Linked DNA regions of Oryza sativa Japonica Group. The protein of the gene in region 1 interacts with the protein of each later gene in a biochemical or structural test. Links are inferred from orthologs where the notes say so. Each region holds a gene or a part of one and is shown on either strand. Other genes may lie near its edges. The genes, in order: B3 domain-containing protein VP1 and E3 ubiquitin-protein ligase AIP2.

Region 1 (7,951 bases):
TAGCATCTATAATGTTGTCCCTGTAGATATCTGCATTATGTTCGCGCAACAGCGCACCACGGGATCCAGAAAGAAATTCGCCGAAACAGGCACATCATTGCCTTATCCTTCACGAACACAACACACACCTAAGCCTCTAGATAGCTATATCCGTCTATCGCTCTACCTATCCTGTCCCCTTCTTTCCTTCCTCCCATAAAAAAACAAGGAAACAAACAAAAAACCAAAAGGGAAAAAAGTGGAAAAAAGAGAAAGGCAGAAGGTCCATCAACATCTGGTCGCTCGATGGGGTGATCGATCAAGCGCACACAGTTCCAATCATGCATGTGACTAATGTCTACGCGACGAGGCTCTGCAGTGCGCGCGGGCAGAAGCTAAGGTTAAACCCTGTTTGGTAGAGCTACAACTCCTAAATTTTGCTTCAGGAGTTGAGTCTGGAGTGAAGTTATAGAGCTATCTAAACCCAACTCCACATCTCTAATTTATTTTGTGAGAGAACTCCACCCAGCTCCGATCACATTTTAAGTGGAGCTTAAACTGTTTGGCTGAGCTCTAACTCCAGGAGAGATGGAGCTAGAGCTGTGCCAAACAAACCCTTAATATTATGAGAAGTTAGTATAGTTAAGAATTTGGAGAAGCTGACAAACCAAGCTTCCAGTTTTTGTGTCAATTTCTAGATTCTACTGCTGTAGTTTTTTAGAATCCGGATAAAAATTTAAAATCTGAACTGTTTAAAAAAAATTTCAGTAGCTAGAGATTCTACGAGAAATTACGGCTGACAGAAGCTCCCAATCAAACCCGAGATAAGATGAGAAGATGCGGGGTTACGTGGCGTTGTGAGAGAGAGAGAGAGCCTCGAAGCGGGGCCAACTAGTTTATCATAAAACCGAGCGTGCCATATCGCCTTGTTTCCACAAGCCCTTAGCACATGGCGCGCTCTCGTCGCTCCAGCCTGGCAGAGTGAGGCGAAGACAAGAGATCAGAATTCAGAAGCAGCTAGCTCTCCACCAAACAGGCTACTCTTTTACTTTAGCTTGGTTAATTTCGTCCAGATCAAGAATCTTGCTAGGTGGAGAGATGCACCACCAGGAATCAATTAACCTGTGCAAGGGGTTAGTCAAACTCAAACAGCTTGGGCGGGTCATGATGAGATCATGCATCCTTGGTCCATGGAAATTTGGCCATGCATGCATGTGCAGGCTTGTAATATTCTAGACACATGCATGCAGGGATGGTCAATGTTTTTGATAGCATATGCAGCCGAAATGCCGAAATTAATACTATATACTCTAGCTAGCCGAGATGGGTTTTTTTATGTGCTAGTATTAGTAGATCCACACAAAATATGCATGTAAATCCTAACCAGATGCTCGGCTAACCACGCAGAAAGAAAAAAAAAAAAGGTAGTAACTATATTAAAAACATGATCCTATGTCTGCTTGTTAGCCGCAATGGACACGACGATTAAGGTAATTAATTAATTCCATAATTCGATGCATGTACAGGACGACGACACACTACAGGGGTTCAACGATGAACAACCAAACCATGCGTACTTAAGCGTCACTGGTACGGGGACTACGGGTTACTGATCAAATATCATCCCTAGCTAGCGCTACGATTCACATGCACAACTTAATTAATTTTTTTAGGAGGTTTTACCATCGGTTATAATACGGAGCTAGCTAGCTAATAATTAACCTTCAAATGGACTGAAGCTTGCTGCTGCTGCTGTCATCTGTTTCTTCAGATGCTAACCGCCATCTGGCTCATGGAGGCGGCGGCGGCGGCCTCCTGGCGAGAACGCCGCACGCCGTGCGGGGACTTGCCCTTGCAGCCGCCGCCGTCAGCCTTGCCTGCCGCCGCCGCCGCTGCGGCTTCGGCACTGTCATCGCCGCCGGTGCCGTCCTCGGCGCCGGCGGCCTTTGTATTGGACGAGACGCCGGGTTTCTCCGGCGAGCCATGCTTATGCTTACCTACCGCCCCCGACGAGTTGCCTTGCTCCTGCGCCGCGCGCCTCACCTTCACACCACGTATCAGCTGCTAATAATTAAGAGATAAATTAAGATTACGGTTAATAATTAATTAGCTGCTGCTTGCAGAAATTAACAGAAGTACTCCATAAACAAAGATACTGCCAAACTGGTCATCCGAATTAAAGACAAACAGTGGCATGCAGCAACTATATATAGCTTATTGGCACTCAAAATCACATCCAACTGAGTTGAGTTAAAGAGTACTCGAAAGAAGTGGGAAGGGCAATGATGGATGAACATTACATATTTGCCTGACTTGATATCGGAGTAGATCACAATGAAATCACCCTCCTGCAGCTCGTTTGAACGAACAAAATCACCTGAAAAAACATATGACAACGATTAATCAACAATACTTGAGAGCCACAAATTAAGGATGGAAGTTATTGGCATGGCTTGTGACTGTAAAATTTGAATAATTCAAAAGTTTGCTATTCACCTGTGTTTTCGAGAAGATACATCCTGCTTTTGTTGTTGGGCCAAAACCTGTGTTCATGAAAATCAATATCCATTAATGTCAGTGAATCAAAATCTAAGCCATCATGTATTCGAATAACTTGTGCATATATAATATTGCCAATGGAAATAATTAAATTAATTAATCAAAAACATGAGCTCAGCAGAACCAGCAAAAATCATATGCATAATGTTAGTACTGAAAACAGCAGGAAAAGATCACTTTTATTTTTTTGTTGTATGCACTTGAGCATCAACATAGAACACGATGAATGCATGCTCCTATTTGACTCCCAGATTCCAATGATATGTTCGTATGACCCACTTGCCCAATTGGGAAAGGGACCATCCCATAGTCATTTACTATTTCTGGTTCAGAGGTTTCTATCCCCTCCCAATTAACAAAGAAGCAAGTGGACTTAAACAAGCTTAATAAGCAATCCCAAATCATGCTTGATGCTTCGATCGAATGTTGATTACTCACCGGTACCGCATGTTCCACACCTGAGACGTCCCGATGTCTTCCATGGGGATGGAGACACCATCCCTCGTCTTCAGCTCCGGCAGGTGAACCTCTGCTTCCTTCTGAAACCATCCACAGATCAAGAAAGGGGAGACTTTTTAGTTCTACCATGATCGGAAATGTGAAGAGAAGGTTCAGGCAAATTCCGTCTTTGATTAGGGGAGAAACATCAAGTATGTGAGTGTGTGCAAGTGGGATCCTTCCATGGAATGGATTTGTGCCAAGTGGGGTAGTGGATTTGGAAGGAGAAGGTGTTCGAGATGGTGGTGACTGTCTCACTTTGGGGAGCACGATGCGGCCGAGGCTCCCGACGTCGCTCTGCTTCAGCACCTTCTGCAGCAGGAACCGCAGGTTCTTGTCCGTCTTCGCCTGCAGCAATCCAATCGATGCCGTTTAATTAGCTAGGTTGATAAATATTGGAGATTCTATCCCTGGACAGCGATGTGAGTGAGTGAGTTTTGAGTGTGTGGAGTGTGTGTGAGGAGGAGAATCGAGTTCTCACTCGCGTGAGATCCTAGCTATGGTGGATAGCGATTGATGTCAATCGTCTGCATGCATGCACACCTGCCGCTTCTCTGAAGCCGTCGAGCGCTGAAGGCTCTCCGCTCCGGCCGTCGCCGCCGCCTGCGGCTTCGGCTTCGGTTTCTCCGGCGAGGGTTTCGGCTGCTTCGACGTGGCGGGAGGAGGATTGGGCTTGTTTGATAGGGGATTCTGGATGATCTGGGCCGCCGGCGGCCAGATGCCCCAGCTCCGGCAGCCGGCCGACGACGGGGTGACCGGCGCCGAGTGCGCGGCGCGAGGGGAGGGCTCCTGTGGATGGCCGGAGATGTGGATCTGGCTCAGGTTGAGCTGCTGGCTACGTTGCTGCTGCAGGCAGGAGAGGCGGCGCTGCCTCGCCATCCGCTTCTTCCGGGCCTCCTTTGTCGAGGACGGCTCGACTCCGGCGAGGCGTGGAGAGCACATGGCGTGGCCGCCGGAGTACTGCCCGGGGAATCCGGCGGTGAACGGCGGTGGCACGACCGACGGCATGGTGTAGGAGCTCGTGGAGGAGACGGGGAACGGCGCGAATTGCTGCGGCCAGGCCATGTTCCCTCCGCCCGACGCATGCATGTCGCCCGCCGCCGCCGCGGTCGGCGGGGAGAACGGCTGGCTGCTCACGACCACGCTGCTCTTGCTGCAGCTCTGCTGGAAAGGGAACGGGCCGGCGGCGCCTGGGTACATGGCGTCGCCGCCGTACGCGGCTGGCGGCGTGAAGGCCTGGTAGGGCATCCAGGATGTGGCGGCGGCGGAGCCCATCTCCTGGCCACCGGAGGGGAACTCGTAGCCGGGGTTTGCGCCGGGGCTGGGGAGCTGAGGGTCCGACGACGCGGCGCCGTCGTCAATCGCCGTGCGGGGGCGCTTCTTCTGGAGGTGGTGGTTCTGCACCCAGGTGAGGATGAGCTTGAGCAGCTGCATGGTGCCCTGGCGCCCGCCGCCGAGCCGCGCGGCCGCCGCCTCGATGGTGGATCGGCGGAGGCGGATGCTGCGGAGGTCGTCGGCGGAGATGTACTCACGGTTGCTCGTGAGCCACTCCATGAAGAACGCCGGCAGATCGTCGGGCGCATCACTCCCCTCCATGCATGCGTCGCCGGCGTCGTCTCCTCCCCCGGCCGCCTCCATCACCGCCTTCGTATCGCCGTCGCCGGTACAGTCGTCCGCCTGATGCGGTTGCCCGGACATGGCGTCCTCTATCATCATGCCAACGTCGTCCGGGAACAGCGGCTGCTCGGCCTCCCACGGGACGGACAGCGACGCGAGGTCGAGGAGCTGGTCTATGTCGGCGAGCTCACCAAACCCGTCCGCCGCCGAGGCCGGCTCGGACGGCTCACCGCCGCAACCCCCTCCCGCCGCGGTGGTGAAAGCGCTGGACGAGTTCGACGACGACGACGACGAGAAGGTTGAGCTTGACGGGGAAGAAAGGCACGGGAAGTCCGGGAGCAACGGGAAGGTATCGTCAGCGAAAAAGACGTCATCCCTCGCCGCCTCACCCCTGATCTCCGCCGCCGGGGCCTTCCCCCGTCCGCCGCCGCCGCCGCCGCCGCCACCCTGCTTCCCCGGGTTCCCGTGCGAGTGCGGCGCCGACGAGCCGGCGGAGGCGTCCATGCAGAGTGGAGGCGGGCGGGGGGCGGAGAGCGCGAGATGTAGGCGAGGCGGGGGGTTTGGCTTTGTTTGTCTGTGTGCGTGTAGGTGTGGAGGTGGGTGCAGTTACTGAGAAAGGAGACGAACAGGAGAAGCAGCGGGAGGTGGAGGGTGGGAGAGTAGAGAGAGAAGAGATGCGGCTGCGGCCCACACGTGGCGGCCGCCGAGGGCTGTGGGAAGCGCTCCACCGCCCACGCCAGCCTCTCCTCAGCGACCGTACCTTTCGCCCCCCGCACGGCACGGCCACGTCCCACTGACCCGTGGGCCCCACATTTCCTCTGGGCCCACTTATCATTGCTGGGGGCTGCGTTTCTGGTGGGTGGGGTTCCCCTTTTTTTTCCTGAGTTGTAACGGTCAATGACAGTGGGGCCTACGTGTCAGTGGGAAGTACGGGATTTCGGCGCGTGCTGGTTTTGACCGCCGCGGCAGAGGGGGAGGGAGAGGAGCGTTCTTGCCTGTGGTCCAATGACATGTGGGACCCAAAAGGAAAACCATAGAGTGGTAGGGTCGTGTGCGCGTAGCGATTTATGCGCGCCGTAGGATGTCCGTGTCGCGTCCGCGCCGACTAAGGGGCTACGCGTCCGGTGTTTCCGAGCCGTCCGATCCGAACCACCGCGTGATCGAACGGACGCCATCTTCGGGAGGAGACCTGTGTGCTGTCTGGATTAGGAATATGGGGTGCGTTTTTTCTACGCGCACGTACGAAACCTACACGAGCTGGAGATGATGACGTGGAGGTGTGGGTCGCACCTTGGTTACGATGACGTGGGATTTTACCATTGGTTGCAGTGGAGGTGGCCCGTGTGAACACATGCAGCGAACGGCCCAGCTCGATCGATCACCAGCAGCCGGGAAGCGTAAGCGCTAAGCAGAGGCATGGCAATGCCATGGCATACGTGATCTTGTTCTGGCCGTTGCGTGTGGAACTGTGGGTGGAGCATTTGCTTTGTCTTGTTCGATCGGAGGATGCGGCTAGGTAGGATACATGTTTTGCAGGGGTAAGAGCAAATTTCCACTTTCTCTTTGCTTGTTTGCTTCGCAACAAATGCATTTGAAAATGACAGACAGGCCCCCAAAATCAGATTAAAAAATATGTTTTCTTTGGTGTCCTTAGTGATGAGGAGCACCCAAATAACCCATGCGACATCATCCAAGGATTTTATTTTTTTTTTGCAAGTTTGTACTTTAAAATGAGCCAATAAATCTATAATACACATTTACGACTACGTGTCCTTTTCAATATCCGTGGAATCAATTGATATATTGATTCATGGATGCAAACAAAAACAATTGTAAATTTTGGGTCATTGAACGATATATATCTCTCTAAAATATTATTTATATCAAGATGACGATATGCATGTATCTTTCATTATTAATTGTTCGCTCAAGCATATCGTATCCTTTCGAGGGAATGAAGCATCGAAGCTCTTGACTCACATCCAATACATTGTCTAATTCAATAATTGGATTTGAACATCAAATATATTCCATGCGTTGTGCAATTTACAAATCATTTTTAATTAGTATTTTACTATTCTCAATCTATATTATCGATAATATGTATTTTACTATTCGATAGCAACTGTAAATAAAGGTCGTTGGGTGTTACAGGTCAACAATCATTTGAGCGATATGGTAGGTTGAGTGTTTCCCCTATGTTGTTTTGGCATAACTTTCATATTACTATGACAACAAGGTTATTTTGAAGAGTTAATACCGCCACGTCCATTGTGCATATTTATAAAAAGTAACTATCAAAACACAACTAAACCCGTAGCAAACCACATGCATATATATTGAATAAGTGATTTTGTAAAAAAATATTTATAGATTTTGATATATGAGGGATACTTGTAAACTTATGTATATAACTCAGCCATGTCATCATCTCAAATAATTTTAGACAATCGGATTAATATATATCACATCATTTATACACTGACCATTCGATTGGAAAATACCGGTTTGCAACATTGGAATACTACTATACTTTAGTCATGATTGATACAAATTTCGATTTAAAAGTGTAGTTGCATGAATTTTGATTCATGATAATCTATACTGCAATTATCATTTGCATTGTGATATATTCATGATTGATGACTTCGATGCTCGGCCACAGGGTTTGTAGCGCGCAATCTATTTGAGCGTAGCCATGTAGCATTGTACCATGAACATATCAATATGTGGTGACTTCATGCATTAAAAGAAGATGGACACGTTGTAACCACAATACAACTTTCTTATCTCCCAACAACTTATATTACGTGCGGACGTATATAAATACAAGAGGCTGCAACAACATTTTGGCTCTTTGTGATTCATTGATCCGAGGTAAGGTCATAACCTTACAATGGTTCACCACCATGTATTTTTCGAAGTACACCCATGACTACATCTATACACGTACGCACGGTGTTTCGATAAAACAATTTTGCTATGAGTATATAGGCTTATGGTTCACTGAAAGACACACACTAATAAAAAGACACAAGATTTGGCTCGTGTTTTGGATTCACGAATAAATCTGGAAAATATTTTCAATGACATATAAAATTTTCTACTATCCCCATAAAAAAATGTACTAACTTTCTTTGATCATGGAAATTAAACCCTACAACAAGATTAACGCATATACTCCATCTATCTCGATATATATATATATACATATATATACATATATATATATATGCGATGTTGTTAAATCTTAGATATATATTTGATTTTATTATGTATATAACAAATTAAAGTTATT
Region 2 (7,967 bases), on another chromosome or scaffold:
CTCTGCAGGCGTGTTGCACAACTAGCCAGATAGAGATTAAGGCACGGCAGCACGTCGGCAAGTAGCCGAGCACAGAGCGCGTCAACCGCCAAGGATGATCCAGCTACAATGTACTCCCTTCGTCCCTAAATATAAGAAATTTTGGTTTGACGTGACATATTCTAGTACAATAAATCTGATTAGGCTTCATGGGCATGTTCGGCTGCCGGCAGCCCCGGCACGAACAGTGCCGCACTCACTATGCGCAGCCGCAGCCACAGCCGTAGCCGTCGCAGTCGGCCTGCCAAACAAGCCCCATATTCAGATTCATTATATTAGGATATGTCACATCCAACCAAAGCCCCTTATATTTAGAGACGGAGGGAGTAGTCAATAATCAATCGAGAAAACAAATCAATGCTCTTGATCCTAGGAAATCAATCGGAGTAACAAAGTTCACAAATGGTTTACAAAACCAATGGTAATCGTGCTTACCATCGAGTATAAGTAAAGATAAAACCACAATAGCCACACCAAATTCAGATAAATTTCAAATATAATTTAAATTTTTAATTTGATATGATTTCTTACAGTTTGCTGCGGTTACCGACGATAACATACTTATTGTCGGGACGAGGTAACTCCATCCCGACGGCAAGGAAAAACATACCCTTATTCCATTCGCTACTTGGTCTTGTTGGCATACGTCTATTCATATACGCAGTTGATAATTTAAATGGGGGACTCTGAAATTCGGGAGCCTGTACTGTCCCATACTTCACTCGTCCTTGTAGATGGGCCTAAATGACGCTTGAAATTATGGAAAAATAATACTCACCATAATGTAAGGTAGGAGTGGTTCATAGTACAGTAGTACTATTTTCACAAGACTGGTAGTTCAAAGAATGGTAGGGACTAGGGAGACGATGAATCGCTGAACCGAACAAACCTCTTCCTACTTTTGCCGCTAACATAAGACCCGGTCATCCGAGAAAATCGTCCCACCTCATTCATTTTAACCACAAATTTTGACAATTTGACACTTTGCAAAAACTATTTTTACAAATGAACTGCTGCCAAAACTTATTTCAAATATGACCCTTTTGCTCAACGCCAAATCATGTGGCGCTGAATTTAGACACCTCAGAGCCACGTCAGCTAGTGCTGAATGCCGTGCCACGACGGATGGGAGACTAAATCAGCGTGTAAACGTACATTCAGCGTCATGCTATTTGGTGCTGAGGTGTTTAAGTTCAGCGTCACACGATTTGGCGTTGAGCAAAAGGGTCAGATTTAAAATAAGTTTTGGCAGCGGTTCATTTGTAAAAATAGTTTTTGCAAAGGGTCAAATTGTCAAAAATTATGCATTTTAACGGTCTTCAGATTTTACATGGACATGGTCATACGAGAAGTAGGTGTCAAAGTACATAGGCCCATCTTTTTCTCGCCCCAATCGTAACTTCAATTTTACGAAGATGAACAGATAAAGAGAAAGCGACGAGATCGGTGAGACGGGACCTCATCACAAATCATACAGCCCGTGAGGACGGACGGACGCGCGGTTGAGCGAATCAAAGCTCATCCGCAGCAGAGCGAGTGGCACTGTGGCATGTACAGGCCTACAGTGTACAGGAGAGAGAGAGGAGGTTGAGGCGATCTCTGCGGCTCCCGTTATTACACGCGTGTGTCCTGTCCCCTAGCAGCGGTGCGGGCGACTTCCTTTCGTTGCGGCGACGCGACGCGCGGTGGGATGATACTGGGACGGTGGTTTTGTGTTGTGCCGCGGACAGAAGAACCGCGGCGATATTGCGGCGGCCGAGCCTGGGCAGGGGCTAGGGTGGTAGTAGTACGAGTAGTTCGTGGGCTGTTTTGCCGACTTCGGTTTTGCCGTGCCGCCGCAGCGCGCGCGCGGGGAGGCGGCAACGGCGATAGCCCCTGGTCTCGGTCGCCCGCCGCCACACCCGCGGTCACGCACCAAATTGCGGCGCCACGCGCCCAGCACACGCGGCTACGGGGAGGGGACGGGAAAAGGTTGTGCCGAGTGCCGACGCCTGTGGGGGAATATCTCGATTTGACTCTCCTAAACATATAATCTAATTTATATCCTTGAAGCACAATACCGAACATCTTAATCTTTTAACTATTAAAACATGTATAATTTAACTTACTTATCGATTTTGGAGAGCGGCTTATGTCATTCTCACTCTTCCCTTTTATCTCTCTCCTCCTTATCTCCCTTCGGCCCCTCCTATCTAACTCTCCTGCACTACCAGCGCCACTACCTCCACTGCACCGCCAGCGCCACTACCGCCACTCCCCCATCTGCCACTTGCGAAGGATGGCCTAGATCCAGGTGCCTGTGGAGGAGTCGACGACAGACATTGCCAAATCGGGGTCATCAAGCCCGCCGAGCTCTTCCTTGGCTGTTGATCTACATTGACTTTTGCGCCGACCTGCTCCATCACGTCGCCTCTCATAAGTCATAACTGGACTAGCGCACTGCCGTCGGCTGTATCTTCATCTCCTGAGCTCCGCGCTATTCTCCGTCCTGACGACTAGCCACCGTCTTCGCCATGGGGACCCCGCCACTGCCCAGGGAGCGTTGTCTCATCCTCGGATCCACGCCATCTCTCTTGACCAGCCGAGCGCACCGTCATCAGGCTACATCTCCATCCCTCAAGCTCCGCGCCGTTCTCCATCCCAACGACCGCTCGCCGTTTTCGTCGTGGGGTCCCCTCCCCTCCCACCGTCTAGGGAGAACCATCTCCTCGGATCCATGCCCGGGCCTCCACCCTCGTCAGCTCTGTTGACACAGTGATAAAAGTGGAGAAAGTGTGTGGAATAGAGAAGGAGAGGAAGAGAGAGGGGGAGTATGACAAGTGGGTCCCCACTTTATTTTTTAATTTTTTTTTCTGATGACTAGTATGAGACGTGAATGCCAACGCTCTCAATACTGTCCTAGGAGTAAAATTGCACCGTTTTAAAATAGTTGGAGGGGTTTTCAAAATATCCGGTATCGCGGTTGAGTGACATACGAATTGAATTTTACCCATAATTGAGGGGCCCGACTTATTCCCGCACGTGGCCGTAATGTTGGTCCGTCAGTTACACTGGGCCTCTCTGCTGTGTTTCGGGGTCGCGAGGGCCGTCGATGGACGGCCCAGTAGGCCAGTGCTGAAGGCCCACACAGTTTCCCCGATTCCCCACCCGTCACGGCGCCGTCTGCAGTAAACGGCAAAGTCCTCCCCTCCGTCTCCGTGTCCGTCGACACGCCGCCACCGCCACGGGGGTTGGGGATTTCTTTCCCCTCCTCCAAGCCAAGCCGGACGCGGACGCCACCGCCCTCGCCTTCACCTCCATTTATACCTCCGGCGAGCGCCGCGGCGGCGGCGACGCACGCATCCTTCCTTCCTCCTCCCGCACCACCGGCGACCGGTAAAACGGAGAGACCCGTGGGCGAGCTTGTTCGAGGCGGGGCACCACCACCATGTCGGCCCCCGCGGCGGTGGAGCAGCGGCTGCAGGCGCTGCGGCAGAAGCTGGGGAGGAAGCAGCACTTCGAGGAGGCCGTCGCCGACCTCGCCGCCGCGGTCCGGGACCACCACGCCGCCGCCTCCCCCGCCCTCCGCGATCTGGTAAATGAGGCCGACCTCCCCTAGCCAGCGCCCCCCCCCCCCCTCTCTCACCTCACGTTACTTCCCGATTTCCTTTCGTTGCGGCCTGGGTTAGGTCCAACGTCGCCGCCGCTGTGGTAATGATGAATCTAGGTTCGATTGGTCCGGTAATGGAGTAGAATTCTTACTCTAAAGTCATCATCAATGGGCAGAAGAAATTAAAATGATCTTCTCTGGGATTGTTAATCCTATTAAAATGATCTTCTCTGGGATTGTTAATCCTATGAAAATGATCTTCTCTGGGATTGTTAGTCCTGTCGTGTCAGTAAGGAACACGTCCTTAGAATAACTCATCTCATCCCAACGAAATTGTTCCTTTTCTTTTCTCCAAGTAGCTTGATATCTAAATTTATAACAAGAGGCTAAACGTTACAAGTAAATACCAATCAAAATGCAGTGAAATCAGTACGTACCCATCAAAATTTACATATTCTTCAAGCTAGCATGGAGCATGGTTAAATTCAAAGCAAGCAATAAAAAGAATCTGCCGGAGTAGTAGTTTATTATAATCCAATGAATCGGCTTGGTAAGATGTGACGTTAACGTTAACATCGCCCAATTCACGGGAATCAAGAAACCGAAATAACGATCACCATGAACGATTGGAATTATTTGTAGACAGAAGTAGCGATGAGTGACAGAGTAATCTGGCTCAGGTGTTTCCTGTGGCTTTATGCACACTCAATCGAGCAAATGAGGAATGACATACATGGACAGAACTATGCTAACAAAAGTGATTTCCTTGGATAATACTAATCCTTTTGTTTCATTATCTTCTGATGAAGTAATCCTGTTAATGTAAAAACTTCTGATTTTTTTAAGTTAAGGTTAACTTCTGATGCTGATGCTTTTTTAGTTAAGGTCGTCCTCAGGGATTCCATTTTTGTGTACCAGTATACCACACCCCTACAATCAGTTGTTTGGATTAGCATTCTTTTCCATACTCTACCTTCATTAATATCATCCATCATATCGACATATATAATGCTCATTTAGCACAATCTTTTGTTCTTTGGCAGATGTATTCTACAGTTTGCCGTGTGGCAACTGTCCTTCAGACTAGATATACAGCACCTGGATTCTGGCGTGCTGGTCTGAACCTCTTCTTAGGTACAGAGAAGCTGGTAACTAATCCTTCAGAAAAGGAGCAACTGAAGACTTTCATTCTGAGGGCCCGGGAGCATCTTGATGAGAAAGAGAACGAGGAATCCATGCCAAACAACAGGGAAACAGGTATGTCATTAATAATTGAATAGGATGATGTGACATTCATAGACACATCTGCATACTTAGATTGGCTATACTCTAATGATTATTCTGGAGGCAACCTGTGATGCATATGCAATTAAATTTATTTCTTGGTGAAATTGATAAACATAGGAGTTCTTCAAGTACATATTTGTCTGCAGTGTATTTTGGTGAAATAAACTTTCCTTAAAATATTCACCCTTATAAATATCTATTTGCTAAGAAGATGTAAACTTTTTTTTCCAGATACAAGATTTCTTTTTGAAGGGCATCTTACAGTGGGACCTGAACCTCCACCTCCTGCCTGGCTTGTTGCCCAGAATTTAGCACGAGAACTTAGCATTTTAGCTGAACCTTCTGGAGATCAAGGTGCGAACAACAACGGAGAGTCCAGGGCTGAGGAGATGGCACCTGCTGCTGCTATAATGAATTTCTTAAACACCATGACAGTGGATGGAGACCTAGAAGCCGCTTTGGAAGAATCTCTGCAGGTAAGAAAGAACAATTCTTGAGAGAATCAATTTATTTGGTATACTTATTTCATTATTTTTTCAGCCCTGAACTTCTATGTTAGTTTCTTGTTGCACTTTTGCACACTGCAAACTGGAGTAGTATCCAAACTGTGCACAACCATAGGCTTTTGGCCCATGTTAGGTGCTATAGAGAAACAAGCAAATTTGATAAATTTGTTGAATGTCTTGATCAGTGGTTTGTAAAATGATTTTTCAATTACTAGTCTGCTGCGCATTCAAGTGCTGATCAAGTTGCTAAAAGTGGAGCTCATCATGCTTTGATGCATGCCAAATTTCTTCATGTTATTATGTTATTGCAATTATCAACTTGGTTTAGACCCACATTCTCAAATTTATATAAGCTTGTCACTTGCTACAACGAGAAGGATATACTTGTATCTCTTATGATTGTCTAGTAACCACCACTGAAATTCTTCGAAAATGGAAAGCCCGCATTTCATCATTTTGTCATTCAGTTCAATAGGGTAACAAGATTTGCATATTGTTATGGATCTTGAATTTGGAACTACTATTTTCAGAATGTGATGGCGAATCCTAAGGTGCCTCCAGCTTCAAAGGAAGTCGTTGCGAATCTACCAGTTGTAACCGTGACAGAAGAAATCATAGCTAGATTGGGCAAAGAGACTCAGTGTGCTGTTTGCCGGGAGAGCTTGCTGGTGGACGACAAGATGCAGGAGCTACCGTGCAAGCATCTTTTCCACCCTCCATGCCTCAAGCCATGGCTGGTAATGTCCACATAACCCCTTTGAATCATCTGAAAGTAGCCTCGACGCATCGTTACAACTCGGTGTAGCTGAACATTATACCCATCATGGTTGTGTTGTGTTGCACGCAGGACGAGAACAACTCCTGCCCGATCTGCCGGCACGAGCTGAGGACGGACGACCATGTGTACGAGAGCCGGAAGGAGCGGGAGCGAGAAGAGGAGGAAGACAGGAAGGGCGCCGCGAATGCTGTCAGGGGTGGGGAGTTCATGTATGTCTGAACATCTGAATTTCAACCGAACGTGATTATCTCTCTGTAACGATTTCCTGAAATTCAGAGTGCACTGGAGTTGAAAATTCATGTACAAACAACGTTTGCTTCGGTTCACCACCGTATCTTCGTTGAATGATACTACCACTATACAGCCAGCTTATTACAGCATCATTGTTCGTTGATGTGCATGTGATGAAGTACTTGAGTTGAGACATTGTTATTCTTTTATTCCCTTTTTACACACAGTATTCAGTCGCGTTAGTCTCCTTCGAATATGGGGGTGGTGAGATAACGGATGACGCTGATGATAACTATTCGATGATACAAATGAATAAACTAAGCATTGTAAAGTTAAATTTTATTTTAACAAGGTTTCCTAAAGAAATAGAGGACTAAGATTTTTTTTAAGAGAGATTGTACCGTCGAGATTGAACAAACGCGAACTATATTACTACTGTAGCCGTTCTACGAGCTTAGTAGCACTCAGAGTTTCCTAAACCGTCGGGACCGGGGTTACCACGCGGTAACCGTGAACCGTTCAAAATTTATCAAAAATTTAAATTATTTTTTAAATTTATTTAAATTTAAAGAGGTTACTGCGGTATTTCTATTACCGTACCTCGGCGATAAGACCGGTAACCATGGTAACCGCATCGTTTATCAGTAATGTAAAACCTGGTAGTAGTAGCCTAGCAGAGTAGGTTGTGTTGGTGGTCACTTGAAAAATTGCGATTCCATGGGCTGATGCCCTTACGTGGGCCCACCACCCACCCCTGACGAGTGGGGCCCACCAGGCAGCGACCCCATCACACGTGAGAAGTCCAGTCCACAGCTCGCTCCATCGCTGCGATTTGCAACACGGCGAGACGGATCAAACGGGCGCCTGCCCCCACGAACTAGACAAGCAGCAGGTCAAGCACCCAACCCAAAATCCCAGAGAAAAACACACAAACAAAAACAACATACAACTGCACACACCCTGCCGATGCAGCGAACGTGTCCAAATAAATTAAAAATCCCCCAATCGATCAATATACGCTGCACCACACCACATACTCAAAAGAAAGAAAAGAAATCCCCCCAATCCCCATTTCCAGCGAAATCTAATCTAATCATCTAAAAATTCCCTTCCCTTCCCTTCCGTCCGAGCCAGAGCAGTAGTAGTAGTAGAAGTAATGAGGAAAAGAAAACGAAAAGCGCCAAGAAAACAACGCACCAACACATCCACAGCAGCAGCAGCAGCAGCAAGCATCATCGGCTCAGGCTTCATCAGGAGAATAGGTTAGATGTGAGAGGAAGGAAAAAAATCCGAGGAAAAGTCTCGAGCCCACCCCCCACATCTCCACTGCTGCAGCTTTGCTTGCTCGAGAGAAAGAAAGAGAGAAAGAAAATAAAATAAAAATCTCTCACAAATCTCTCTCTCGCAGCCGTCAAAATCCAATCTTGGCGCATCCCCGGCCGCCTACTGTTCTCGCCCCCCCTCTCTGGTAATAATTGTCAGGCTGGTGGTTGGTTTGCTGCTGCTAATAATCGAGTCTTTTCCTCCCAAGGAGAGG

What was found.
Region 2: the proteins of B3 domain-containing protein VP1 (region 1) and E3 ubiquitin-protein ligase AIP2 form a complex in vitro, tested with the Arabidopsis thaliana proteins (2 studies listed by BioGRID, with this or other methods). The link is inferred for Oryza sativa Japonica Group from reciprocal best matches to the Arabidopsis thaliana genes ABI3 and AIP2.

What each region holds. Positions count from the first base shown.
Region 1 is NC_089035.1:40,356,233-40,364,183, forward strand, and holds B3 domain-containing protein VP1, read right to left. Parts: upstream 5,268-7,951; 5' UTR 5,158-5,267; coding exon 3,580-5,157; intron 3,385-3,579; coding exon 3,295-3,384; intron 3,078-3,294; coding exon of another isoform or gene 3,075-3,077; coding exon 2,977-3,074; intron 2,523-2,976; coding exon 2,476-2,522; intron 2,357-2,475; coding exon 2,280-2,356; intron 2,044-2,279; coding exon 1,747-2,043; 3' UTR 1,454-1,746; downstream 1-1,453. UniProt on the Arabidopsis thaliana protein: Participates in abscisic acid-regulated gene expression during seed development. Regulates the transcription of SGR1 and SGR2 that are involved in leaf and embryo degreening.
Region 2 is NC_089043.1:20,322,790-20,330,756, reverse strand, and holds E3 ubiquitin-protein ligase AIP2, read left to right. Parts: upstream 1-3,307; 5' UTR 3,308-3,466; coding exon 3,467-3,613; intron 3,614-4,671; coding exon 4,672-4,885; intron 4,886-5,146; coding exon 5,147-5,391; intron 5,392-5,951; coding exon 5,952-6,158; intron 6,159-6,268; coding exon 6,269-6,418; 3' UTR 6,419-6,579; downstream 6,580-7,967. UniProt on the Arabidopsis thaliana protein: E3 ubiquitin-protein ligase that acts as a negative regulator of abscisic acid (ABA) signaling. Mediates ubiquitination and subsequent proteasomal degradation of the transcription factor ABI3.